Callithrix jacchus: one gene and its partner. The protein of the gene in region 1 purifies or fractionates together with the protein of each later gene. This does not show direct contact. Links are inferred from orthologs where the notes say so. Each region holds a gene or a part of one and is shown in the gene's direction. Other genes may lie near its edges.

What was found. Proteins that work in one complex are often made in the same cells at the same time.
Region 2: the proteins of NUP107 (region 1) and TPR fractionate together in Homo sapiens (co-fractionation; 4 studies listed by BioGRID and IntAct, with this or other methods). This does not show direct contact. The link is inferred for Callithrix jacchus from reciprocal best matches to the Homo sapiens genes NUP107 and TPR.

The regions. Positions count from the first base shown.
Region 1 is NC_133510.1:50,460,330-50,466,758, reverse strand, and holds the start of NUP107 (nuclear pore complex protein Nup107), read left to right. Parts: upstream 1-2,228; 5' UTR 2,229-2,295; coding exon 2,296-2,321; exon of another isoform or gene 2,322-2,908; intron 2,909-4,175; coding exon 4,176-4,267; intron 4,268-4,754; coding exon 4,755-4,841; intron 4,842-5,792; coding exon 5,793-5,908; intron 5,909-6,429. UniProt on the Homo sapiens protein: Plays a role in the nuclear pore complex (NPC) assembly and/or maintenance. Required for the assembly of peripheral proteins into the NPC. May anchor NUP62 to the NPC. Involved in nephrogenesis.
Region 2 is NC_133519.1:44,385,118-44,391,117, reverse strand, and holds part of TPR (nucleoprotein TPR), read left to right. Parts: intron 1-1,802; coding exon 1,803-1,906; intron 1,907-2,243; coding exon 2,244-2,408; intron 2,409-2,882; coding exon 2,883-2,975; intron 2,976-3,392; coding exon 3,393-3,473; intron 3,474-3,550; coding exon 3,551-3,638; intron 3,639-4,367; coding exon 4,368-4,508; intron 4,509-4,902; coding exon 4,903-4,994; intron 4,995-5,272; coding exon 5,273-5,470; intron 5,471-6,000.

The DNA.
Region 1 (6,429 bases):
AACGCAGTGCACTTTCCAGAAAGTTTTCTGTCTTTGCATATGTACTGAACACAGGGCTAATTTTTTTTGCCCCAAACTGCTCTTCTTTCTTATTGTGTGCTTCATGGTCAACCACCTCAAGTACACTTCAGTTATATTACATGAATAAAACTCACTGGAATTCAATTGCTGAGGGACATGGAGCAAGAACCTGAACCACAGATAACACTTTGAATTAACTTGCCCCAGCACTGACAAAAATCATTAGCACCACATTTTGCTTTCTATAAGAACAAGCGTACTTTTTGTACAGGAAAATTAGGAGGTTGGGAGAATGAGACCACACCAGGGCATAATTCTTCAAAAAGGTTATTGAAGGAGTAAAGTAACATTTCGATGACCTGCTATGTACAGTGTATATTTGATGTCTCTCTCTCATGCCCACTCCCCTACTTTTTAAAAAATATTTGTGATGGTGCAGTGGTTCACGCCTGTAATTCCAGCACTTTGGGAGACCAAGGCAGGTGGATCACATGATGTCAGGAGTTTGAGACCAGCCTGATCCATATGGAGAAACCCCATCTCTACTAAAAATGCAAAAAATTAGCCCGGCATGGTGGTGCATTCCAGTAATCCCAGTTATTTAAGAAGCTGAAGCAGAATTGTTTAAACCTGGGAGGCAGAGGTTGCAGTGAGCCAATCTCATGTCACTGCACTCCATCCTGGGTGATAAAGCGAGACCCTGCCTCAAAAAAAAAAAAAAAAAATATATATATATATATATATATATATTGCAGAAACAGGGTCTCATGTTGTTGCCCAGGCTGGTCTCAAACTCTTGGGCCCAAGCCATCCCTCCCACCTGGACCTCCCAAAGTGCTGGGATTACAGGGGTAGCCACCGCACCCGACAGTGCTTAGCTTTTTCATAGATGTAGCTTTTTCCTTGCTTGCAGACTTCGCAGTGAGCCGAGATCACGCCACGGCCCTCCAGCCTGGACTAGAGCGAGACATAATCTCAAAAAGAAAAGAAAAAAAAGCTCAGCACTGTCACCAGGAATATATGGCAAGAAAAGCTGGCAATTTCTACATATCTGTGAAACCCAAAATGTCATTTGCAATAAGGATCAAATGTATCAATAGTGTAAGCCCAAAAGTCTGTGGCAACTTCTTCACTTTCCCCAGATTGTCAATGGCACCTTTGTTAAACTCAACAAGGTTTCGGTTAACAATGTTGAGGATTGCAGAACCACCTATTGCATGGGGCACCTGAACCTGAAATCAACAAATAAACTGATATACCTACTGGTTATAGTAAAACCAATAAACAAATTACCTTAACAGAGATAACTCTTTAATTGCTAGATCTCTTGATAAATATGGCATCATCTGACTGGAGAATCTGATTCGAGAGCTCTATGTTGTTGAAAAATTCTTCAAGTTCCCGTGATCCTTCAAATTATCTTCTCCACGAGGTAGAATGAAGGACTACCTATTTTGTATTAATGAAAGGTATAAATGCCAGCAACAGAAAAGACCATATCAACAGGCTTATTAAATGGATAAACTGAGGTGTCTAATATTATTTTTGTAATCTTATCAGTTAATAACCAGTCACTACTTTCAAATATGAAAAAAAACAAAAATGTGACTCCTTCAAGACCAAAATATAACCACTATTTGCCTACACGGCACTTTGAATAGAGGGCAATACCATCATATTTTACGCTTGCCTTTCTACTTTTTAATACGGGTGAACTTTTTTTCCTCCATAGCAAAAAATACCAAGTAAAGAACAAATAGCAGTTATGGAAAATACTTTCAAAAACTGTATGAAGCTACAGCACAAAGGACTGAGCGTAGGGAGAGAAACAGAAATTTCTCGAGGCAGAGCCCACATATCTGAATTCCAACAACAGGCGCTTTCTGAGAGAATACCAGGTAATGACTTCACATTTTTCCAGACTATCAACATAATTCGTTTTTCCCAGTAGGAGAACCCAACGCCTGTTCCACGCCCACAGACATCGGTCAGGCAAAGCGGCCGCAACGCTTCCGGGCTAAACGCGACTAGGTCCCGCCCCCGGTCCTGTCTGGTCCAGCCAGGCACAAGTTGGCAAACTTTGCGCCTGCGCCCACCGGGCTAGCTCATGTAGGCTCAAGTCGCGCATGCGCTAGGTGGGAACGTTGTTTCTTCTCCCCTGCGCTTTTTCTGTGGGGCTGTTTTAGGGAGAGTGCTTCCAGGTCGAAAGGCTTGCTTCCGGAGAGCGGGAAGGCTAAAACGCGGTAACTAAACTGGAGCCAACCTTGGTTCTGTATGGAAAAGGCTTTAGCCATGGACAGGTCAGTTCTGATCGTGGGAGCTGAGCCCGAAGTCTTGTCCCTCTCGCCTGCTGGCGAAACGAAATAGGTGAAACTAGACTCCCAGAAAAAGCCAAGGAGGAGGTCCCGGGTGCTTCCCCTAAGACTCCTTCCCCAGGCCAGGAAATTTGGCTACAAATGCGGAAAAGGTCGCTTGGCTTGCGTCGGGGTGGGATACGGATTATGATGGTTCCCTACATTCTCACTGTGTTCTGCGATCTATTCGGCGCTTTGGGGCAGCAACACTATTCTTTCCTGAGGTGGGCGGGGTAGGTAGCCCGGCGTTCTACATGCTGAGTGACCAGCCTGAGATCACAAAGCCAGTCAATGAAGATACTGGGATCTCAGCCCAGACTTTCTGATCACAAGTGCCAGCATCAAATACTGGGTTCCTTCTATAATCTGGGTATTATGCTAGCCGGCTGCAACAAAGATCAGTTATTCAAGATCCTTCACCTCGGGGAATTGGTTGTGTAGTGGAGACAACCAAGCATATAAAGTGATAAGTGTTTTGGAACGATTAAGTCTCCCTGTCACTATATAACTATCAGGAAGACCTCTCGAAGAAGGTAACTTTCTAGTTGGTGTTTGAGTAATAATAGTACATTATTGGTACTCCAAACCTTGAGTACTGCTATGTGACTGCATTGTTCCAAAGGATTTGAATATATATTATTAGCTTGTTTAATCTTCAGAACAAGAAAAATTCTATGAAAATATGTGCTGTTATCCTTTTTTCATAGATACCACTGAGACTAAAAGAGGTTAAGGAACTTGCTGAAAGTTAGAAGGCTAGTAGTAAATACAAGGACCAAATTCCCAACCTGCATCTGTGTGTCTCCAGGCTACCTGGGGCTCTTTGAGGAGTAAGTAGTTGTTGACCAGGTGCTCAAGGGAGCCACTGTAGGTCGTTTTAAAAGAAACTTATTCAAAGGTGTTAGGATATAGAAAAAAGTACGTGCTTTGTCGGCAGTCACATGCAGAATATGTTTAAAGCGATATTTGTGGCTGAATATAAGACTGAACCTCTAAACTGGGGTCACATTGTAAATAGCTTTTTAGGGAATTTGTACTTCTATAGACTAGAGAGAGATATCTGAAGTTTTTTTTGTTGTTGTTTTTTAATTAAACCTTTTAAATTTTGTTTTGGTTATTGTTTTCCATACTTTCTTGCTGAAGGAATATCTGAAGGTTTTAAGTGGAGGAAAAGCATATCAGATTCTTGCCTTAAACATAGGCCTTTTCATCCACACAATTTCGTTTCTAGACCTTTGAGTGAAAATGACAGGGAGTGATGTGATGGGACAGGAGACATCCTGGGTTGAAATAATTTGAAGGATCATTCTGCTCCATTTACCAGAATTCTTTTATTTACCCTCTTATCTCACAAGCTCTGTTTTGTGTTGTTGTTTGTTTTTCAGTGGTACCTGTGTTTTAAAGCATTTTGGAGACTGCAGAAAATCTTTTAAGAGAGAATTCCTGTAATTAGATAACTCCTCAATCCAACAAGGGAAATGAGATTGACTTTTATGAAGCAGTTATCTAAAACAGTGTTATAGATTCCAAGTGTTGAAATAATTCCTTAGGAGAAAATAACATAGTGAGTACTAGAAAGTCAGAGAAGTCTTTGTGCAGGTAAGATTTGAGTAAGGCTTTGAAGAATAAGCAGGATTTGGAGCCAGGAGTGCATTCTCAGCAAAAGATCTAAGACTTGGCTATTGGAATGACCTATACCACAACTTACTCAGAGCCCTTTACTCCAGCTGTGATGATAAAATTCTTTTACAAATACTACATTCTCATTTCACTTATGTAAGCTTGATTATACTACTTTAGGAGTGGCTTTGGAGATATATCATCCCCTGTTATCCGGGAGGCAGAGGTGACACGGACTGCACGGAAACAGAGTGCTCAAAAAAGAGTTTTAAGTATCCTTTGCGATTTAAGCATCATTATAAAAATTGTAACATGCTTGGAATCGGTGTTGTAGAATTTTCTTTTATGAGAGTATTAAATGTTAGCTGTAATAAAATCCTGTAGAAATTTTTTTTCACTCTGCGGAACTGTCATTTGGTAAATATAATGCTAAAATTTAATGAGATTATGTTTCCCTAAGAATAAAGATATTTCATTTTACTACTGACTATCATATTGTGGTTAGCTTCTGCTGAAATTAGATTTTTTTATTATTTGAAAACTGACTAAAAACATTTAGTTCAGTAGTTATCTAAGACTGACATCTGAGAATTTAAATGGCAGAAGGAATCATTTACCCTTTGCATAGAAAAATAGTAGCCATAAAATACCTTATTCTTGGTAAATGTATTCACATAATTTGTATAGTAAAAATATTGTTAGTTCTCACTTTAATGATCTCTTTTCTACGTGGAAAACTTTTCTTAACTCATTGTACAGTTCAGTCATCTCAAGATGAAAATTTTGGTAATACTACACCAAGAAACCAGGTTATTCCTCGAACTCCTAGCTCATTTCGACAGCCTTGTAAGACTTTTTTGCTTTTAAAGCACTTAATAATAATGATAATTATAATAGCAGCTAACATTTATTGTAGAACAATTAGTATTTGGTTACTATATCAATAATTAAGCACAAATAATAATGATTGCAGTTATTTGTTGAACTCTTGCCATGTACAAAGTACTGTATTTTACATAAACACACAGTAACTATGACATAGGTATTGTTAATTCTATTTTACCAAAACTGAAAGCAAGACTTAGAGAAGTTATAATATAGGCAATAAGTATGTAAATAAGCTGGATACAGTGGCTCACGCCTGTAATCTCAACACTTTGGGAGGCTGAGGTGGGCAGATCACTTGAGGCTAGGAGTTCGAGATCAGCTTGGCCAACATGGTGAAACTCCATCTCTACTAAGAATACAAAAATTAGCTGGCGTAGTGGGTCATGCTTGTAATCCCAGCTACTCAGGAGGCTGAGGCAGGAGAATTGCCTGAACCAAGGAGGTAGAGGTTGCAGTGAGCTGCGATTGTGCCACTGTACTCCAGCCAGGGCGAAAGAGTAAGACTCTGTAAAGTATGTAAATAATGGAATTGGGATTCAAACAATGATCTGTTTACTCCAAAGTTTATGCCCACTGCAATTCACTGCCTCGGTAAGCCTTATAAAATTAAAACATGAAGAGTCCATTGACTCATTAGTGTTTTTAACTGCTCAGTTATGCTATAATGAAAGCATCCATAATTGCAGTAAGATTTTTCCTGATAGGCTCAGTAGTACCTAGAACTCAAATTTAGAAAAATAACTTAAATCCTTGTATTGTGAAAATGTTAACATTTAAAGTATTTATCTGGTTAGAGTCTAAATGATGGAAAACGGAAAAATTTATTTTTCCTTGTTTGTTTGCTTACTTTGTTTTGATAATGAATGCTCATGCACCTTAAGTTTTTTTCTACCAACCTTTTGTTTGTAGTTACCCCAGCATACCGAAGCTTACTAAGACAGCCGGATATTTCCTGCATTCTTGGAACAGGAGGGAAGTCGCCTCGACTCACGCAATCTTCAGGGATCTTGGGAAATCTCTCCATGGTATGTAGAAAAATAGGGCTAAGAACTTCTCCTTTTGTGTCGAGTGTGGTGGCTCACACCTCTAATTTCAGCACTCTTTAAACTCCTGACCTGAAGTGATTCTCCTGCCTTGGCCTTCCAGAGGTCAGGAGTTTGAGACCAACCTGGCTAACATGATAAAACCCTGTCTCTACTAAAAATAAAACAATTACCTGGGACTCATGCCTGTAATCCCAGCTACTTGGGAGGCTGAGGTGTAAGAATTGCTTGAACCCAGGAGGCAAAGGTTGCAGTGAGCCATGATTGAAAAAAAACAGGGAGACAGAAGAAAGAACCTCTTCCTTTTAATAAAGGTATGTTATTTGATGTAAGTCTTTTAATGAATACTTAAAAGCCTTTTAATGAATATTGAGTCATAAATCATCATAAAAGTACAACTAGGTTATATGGATTGAAATAATTAATTAGACATTTAAAAAACTGAAAACCATGTGCATTTCATATCACCGATGGAAATGGTAATACCAGCAACCTTTAGATAC
Region 2 (6,000 bases), on another chromosome or scaffold:
TTGACAGGGCGCAGTGGCTCATGTCTGTAATCCCAGCACTTGGGGAGGCCGAGGCAGGCCAACATGGTGAAAACCCCATCTCTACTAAAGATCTAAAACTTAGCTGCACATGGTGATGTGCACCTGTAGTTCCAGCTACCCAGGAGGCTGAGGCATGAGAATTGCGTGAACCAGGGAGGCAGAGGTTGCGGTGTGCCGGGGATAGACCAAGACTCTTTCTCAAAAAAAAAAGGCAGCCCCTTTACTGGCAAGATACTTTCTGACTTCAGGGACAAAGCATCAGTGGAACTAATTCAGAGAAAAAGTTCCCTTGTCCAGGTCTTCCTCTTGTGTAACAAAAAGACAATCGCTGGTGTTCATCTTTTTCCTTCAGGCTCTGGGGTTAACAACCTTGTGAATAAGGGCAGTTCTGATCATAAACCTGACTGCATTGCACAATACAGTAGAGTTAGCCAATCCCTTCCTGCCCTATATCCTGGTGTTCTCTTCCCTTTTTAACTAATAAATGTCTTTTGTGGCATTTTTTTCTAGAATAGGACACTTCCATCTACATTAAAAACCTGTGCAGGCGTATAACCTTTCTCAATGATTTTCTTAACAGCGTCTGCTTGGTTGACAGAACCTGCATGTGATGTTTTCTTGACTTTTTTTAAGTCAAACCTCTTTGTAAAATTATAAGACCATCCTTTGCTGACATTAAATTCTCGAGCTTTAGATCCATCACCTTCCTTTTACCTTAAGTTGTTGTGTAATGACGTTGCTTTACCTCAAATCATATTAGAGTCTATGGGTATGTGATAGTAATCCTGCACCCCATAAAAGTTGCATTTTCAATAGGAGACAAGAAGGTATTTTGCAGAAATGCACTTTTTTATGTTTGCTGTGGAGTAGCTGCAGTGATGGCTTCACCTATTTTCTTTCTCTTTTTCTTAACAACGGTCTTTATACAGGATTCATTTATCTTGAAATGGTGGGTAACCAAGCTGTAGTCCTCAATTGATGGTACATGTCAAGCAATTCAGCTCTTGAAAATATTGTCATGACTTTTCTCTGCTTCTTAAAAGCACTTCCAGTGTCACTAGTGGCCTTCTGATGGATCCCATGTTGTTATTCAAGGTTTATGTTACTGCACTAAACACAATGACAAATATGCAAAAACTTCAAAAGATTACTATTTTCTTCATTATGCAATTTACTGGAGAGAGAAACTGCTCTCGTTAGAGTCACAGCATTCTAAACATACTCAGAACACTTGAGCTTAATGCAGTAGTATCAGGAAGTGGCTATGAAAGTATTACGGTAGTACAGTATGTATTCCAGTTAATGTTATGCAGTGATGGCTAAATAAAGCATCTTTACATTTGTTTATATTTCTCTTAATTACATATGGGGTCGTGTCCTGTTTGTGTGCGTAAGTTTTGATAAAATTTTTAAGTTTCTATCATACATTTGTGCATATTTTAATGGAGTAAATGTTAAAATAGGCTAGTATTTACATATATTTTATGCACTTATAACATAGTAGATTTTTCTTAGTTTGTTTCCATTTCTGAGCTGCCTGGACTGGTCTGTGGTCTCTGAGTTTTTCAAACTGTTGCAAGTTTTTTGAAAAAAATTTCAACGTATTTATTGAAGAAAATATGAGTGGAAGTGAATCTGCACAGTTCAAATCTGTCTTGTTCAAGGGCCAGCTGTGCTTACTTTGTATTAAAGGTTTATATTCCTTGAGATACATTTTTGATATTTGGTTCCTCTAAGTGTTAATTAGTCATTATTTTTTAATTCTTTTTTCACCATTCTAGAGGATGTTAAACGTCTCAACGAAAAACTTAAAGAAAGCAATACAACGAAGGGTGAGCTTCAGTTAAAATTGGATGAACTTCAAGCTTCTGATGTTTCTGTTAAGGCAAGTAACAAATGATTCCTAATGCATAAACTATATTTTTTAATTAAAACTCACCTAAATTAAGTTTCAAATATAGGCAATAAAGTAATTAGAAGCTGGATTTTTTGTTTTTAATGTCAAAAAATTAAGCATTAGGACAATTCTAATTCAACTGTTTAGCTTATTTGAAATTTAAGTTTGTTATAGTTCTTAATGTTTTCTAGTTAAGAATCTATGCAAATACTTAATTTCTGTTTTAGAATAAAATTCTACTTGTGTCCCTTAGTTATAGAACAAATCTTTTGAATAGCCATATATCATCTTTAACTGTAGAGGTTACTCTCTTGGATTTCTTTAGTATCGAGAAAAACGCTTGGAACAAGAAAAAGAATTGCTGCATAATCAGAATACATGGCTGAATACGGAGTTGAAAACAAAAACTGATGAACTTTTGGCTCTTGGAAGAGAAAAAGGAAATGAGATTCTAGAGCTTAAATGTAATCTTGAAAATAAAAAAGAGGAGGTAAGTTAGTAAAATTGTATTTTCCTTCATGTTGGGTATAACTTAGATTCCTGTGTCAGTTTGTTAAATATGTATTCAATAGTGTGTACTTGATTAATTTTAAGAGTAGGGGTTAAATGTTAATAACGCATTAACATTTGGCATAGGAAATCAACCAGTTGCATCTAAATAAAGAATTTAAGATAGTCTTCATCAAATCTGGATAGTAACTGCTGTCTTACGATATATCTTTTCTAAAATAACGTGTTTAAGAAGTGGTCTGTGCCTAAAGAAGTGATGGTAAGTTTTTGTGAGCTAAATGGAAACATGCTGTTCTGTAAGCAGTTATTCTTAATTTTCTTACTCATATTTTAATAGCTTTTTCAGCTGGGGATGGGGAGTCACTCAGCTTTTCCTTAGCAGCATGAACCTCATATCAGAGTCATTTCAGTTAATATGACATCCTTTCCTCCAGCTCTGTTTTTTTGTTTTTAGGTTTCTAGACTGGAAGAACAGATGAATGGCTTAAAAACATCAAATGAGCATCTTCAAAAGCATGTGGAGGATCTGTTGACCAAATTAAAAGAGGTATAGATGACCATTAAATTTTTTTATATAAAATGTTAAAGCACTTATGAAGCTGTTATTTCACAAAATGATGTCATGTTTTAATCTCTTTGGCCCCATAAAATGGTGAGAGTACTACTTCCATGTGATGTAACTAGGCTGTAATAGAATCAGAAATAGCAATTATATGTTATATCCAAAATACTATCTAAAAAATGAGTGTGGGTTAATTTTATTATTGTTTAATTATTCTACTTTGAATTTAAAATACCAGTAATGTTTCATCCTTAATTTATCTTGGTCATGAAGACTGATTTGAATTTGAGTGTTTTAGTTTTTATCTCTTACTTTACAAAATGGAATTTTTCATCTTGGCATTCGATAAGTATTCTAAATTAAGTTGAAAGTAGACTGCTCTAATTGGGCTGTCTTTTTCAGGCCAAGGAGCAACAGGCCAGTATGGAAGAGAAATTCCATAACGAATTAAATGCACACATAAAACTTTCTAACTTGTACAAGGTAAATATGCCCCCACACATGTGCCTATCTAAATGTTGCATTGTTGACTTCGGTAACTTTTTAAGATTAACTTTTAGAGTGCCGCTGATGACTCCGAAGCAAAGAGCAATGAACTAACCCGGGCAGTGGATGAACTACACAAACTTTTGAAAGAAGCTGGTGAAGGTAAATGCTTTCAGTTATGGGAACGTTACTTTTGTTATTACATAGAAGGCATTGTTTTTCTTTTTACCCTTGTTTTGTATAGATTATTGGATTTAGGTGTTAGACTTTATTTGGGTTGGAATTAGGTACGGAAGAAAGAACTTTGGATTAGGAAATTTGGAATTATATTTTATGCAAATGTAAGTTTATATGTTTTTGAACATATAGACAGCAGGGGGTTTTTTGCTTGAAGTTTTTCATCTAATAATTTTATATAATTTCCTGATTTCTAATGAGAAAATTTTCTTTTTTGAAACATTTACTCTGATTAAGTATGTTTGAATACTCTTTTACTTCATAAACAAGACATCCTCTTTATCATTTGCATTTTGGAAAGTGTTTTATTTCCTTAAATTTTTGCTTTTTTCAGTGTAAGATATTTATGGTCTTTTCCAATAATGCCCTTTACTTAGTATTAAAGATAGAAATTGAAATCAAAGCTAGACCTAGAACCACTTTTTACCCTTTGAGTTTCCTTATTTTCCTTGTGGGTGAGAGAGATCAAAAGGGGAGCTACTCACCAGCCAAGACAATTCCGAAATTATAAATAGAGCAAGAACTTTCTGTAGCTTCTCTAGAAATGTAGTATGCAGTAGAAATGCTGAGGTGAGAAGTGACTTATCTGGTGCATTTTGTAATCTAAAATTTTAACTATATGTTTGAATATTTGGTCTTTAAAATTGTTTTTAGCCAACAAAGCAATACAAGATCATCTTCTAGAGGTGGAGGAATCTAAAGATCAAATGGAAAAAGAAATGCTCGAGAAAATAGGGAAATTGGAGAAGGAATTAGAGAATGCAAATGACCTTCTTTCTGCCACAAAACGTAAAGGTATGGCTGATAGATGGTTGTTAGTGGCTTGAAATACTATAGCTTTCCTGCATGAAAGTCATTTAATTTCACTAATAGTATTTCTCTGTCATGCTGTGATGTAGGGAAACTCCATCAAGTTCCATTGTTAGAATTTGTTTTAAAATTAATGGTCTATCTGTATCTTTACAGAATTAGGTATCTAAGTACTATTTGATCACACAGTGTTTTGTAAATTCCCAGACGATTGCATGATTTTTAGAATTAGATGTGTCACATGACTTTTTGATGTCATGTTAAAAATGTTTATAGCAATCACTATATAATGTACAGTACATGTCACTTATCTTGAAAAACTTATTAATGGTTTGTAGTTTGGAATTTTACAAATTCCAAATTATATATTTTGATACAGGAGCCATATTATCTGAAGAAGAGCTTGCAGCCATGTCTCCTACTGCAGCAGCTGTAGCTAAAATAGTGAAACCTGGGATGAAATTAACTGAGGTAAGAATGATAGTAAATCTTGATATTTTCTTATTTTGCTTCAGCAAAGGTATACAAATCTCTCTGAAATTTAATTCTCTCAAAAATTGTTTTGAAAATCATTTTATAATTAATGGATTATTCTAGGAAAGTCTTCCTGTAGTTCCTAGTTCTGTGTATCTAACATATAGTAAACATTTCTGTGTTGTGTAAGTGTTAAAGAATGTTTATTATGAAACTAGATAGACTACATATTTGTGTTGTTATGGTTAGATTTCAAACAATCCTTCTACTTTCAGCTCTATAATGCTTATGTGGAAACTCAGGATCAGTTGCTTTTGGAGAAACTAGAGAACAAAAGAATTAATAAGTACCTAGATGAAATAGTGAAAGAAGTGGAAGCCAAAGCACCAATTTTGAAACGCCAGCGTGAAGAATATGAACGAGCACAGAAAGCTGTAGCAAGTTTATCTGTTAAGCTTGAACAAGCCATGAAGGTTGGTTCCATTCCTAAAATTTAGCTGTGGTAATGATACAAATGAGAAATGATTTACTACGTATTTTTTAATTAGGTGATTGAGTAAAAAAAAATGTAAATATGATTTTCAGTAAATAAATTTTGAAACTTCTCATTACATTATTAAACACTGCTAATCATAAAATGTTCTACCTTTATTTAGCAATTTTTATTTATTTCACAATTGGTATTTAAAATTGTGAAAGCATTTTAACGTTTTTTTAATGCATTTGATATGTTTTCCTTAGGATTCTCAACAAGAAAATAATAGCCAAATCTCCTTATACATCTCTTCAAATTAATCTCTCTGTGTAACACAACCCTCCTATTTAGTGTAGTAATTGTTTATCAGACAGTTGCAAGATCCTGCCTAGAAATAATGTATTATTTGACCATAGAGCTCCTTTTTTCTACCATTTCACAATTTGGCATATCTTTATATACATTATTTTGTTACTGCTTCTTTGCTTATTAAAAGTGTTAAGGAAATTTATAAAGATTTTTTTCTTC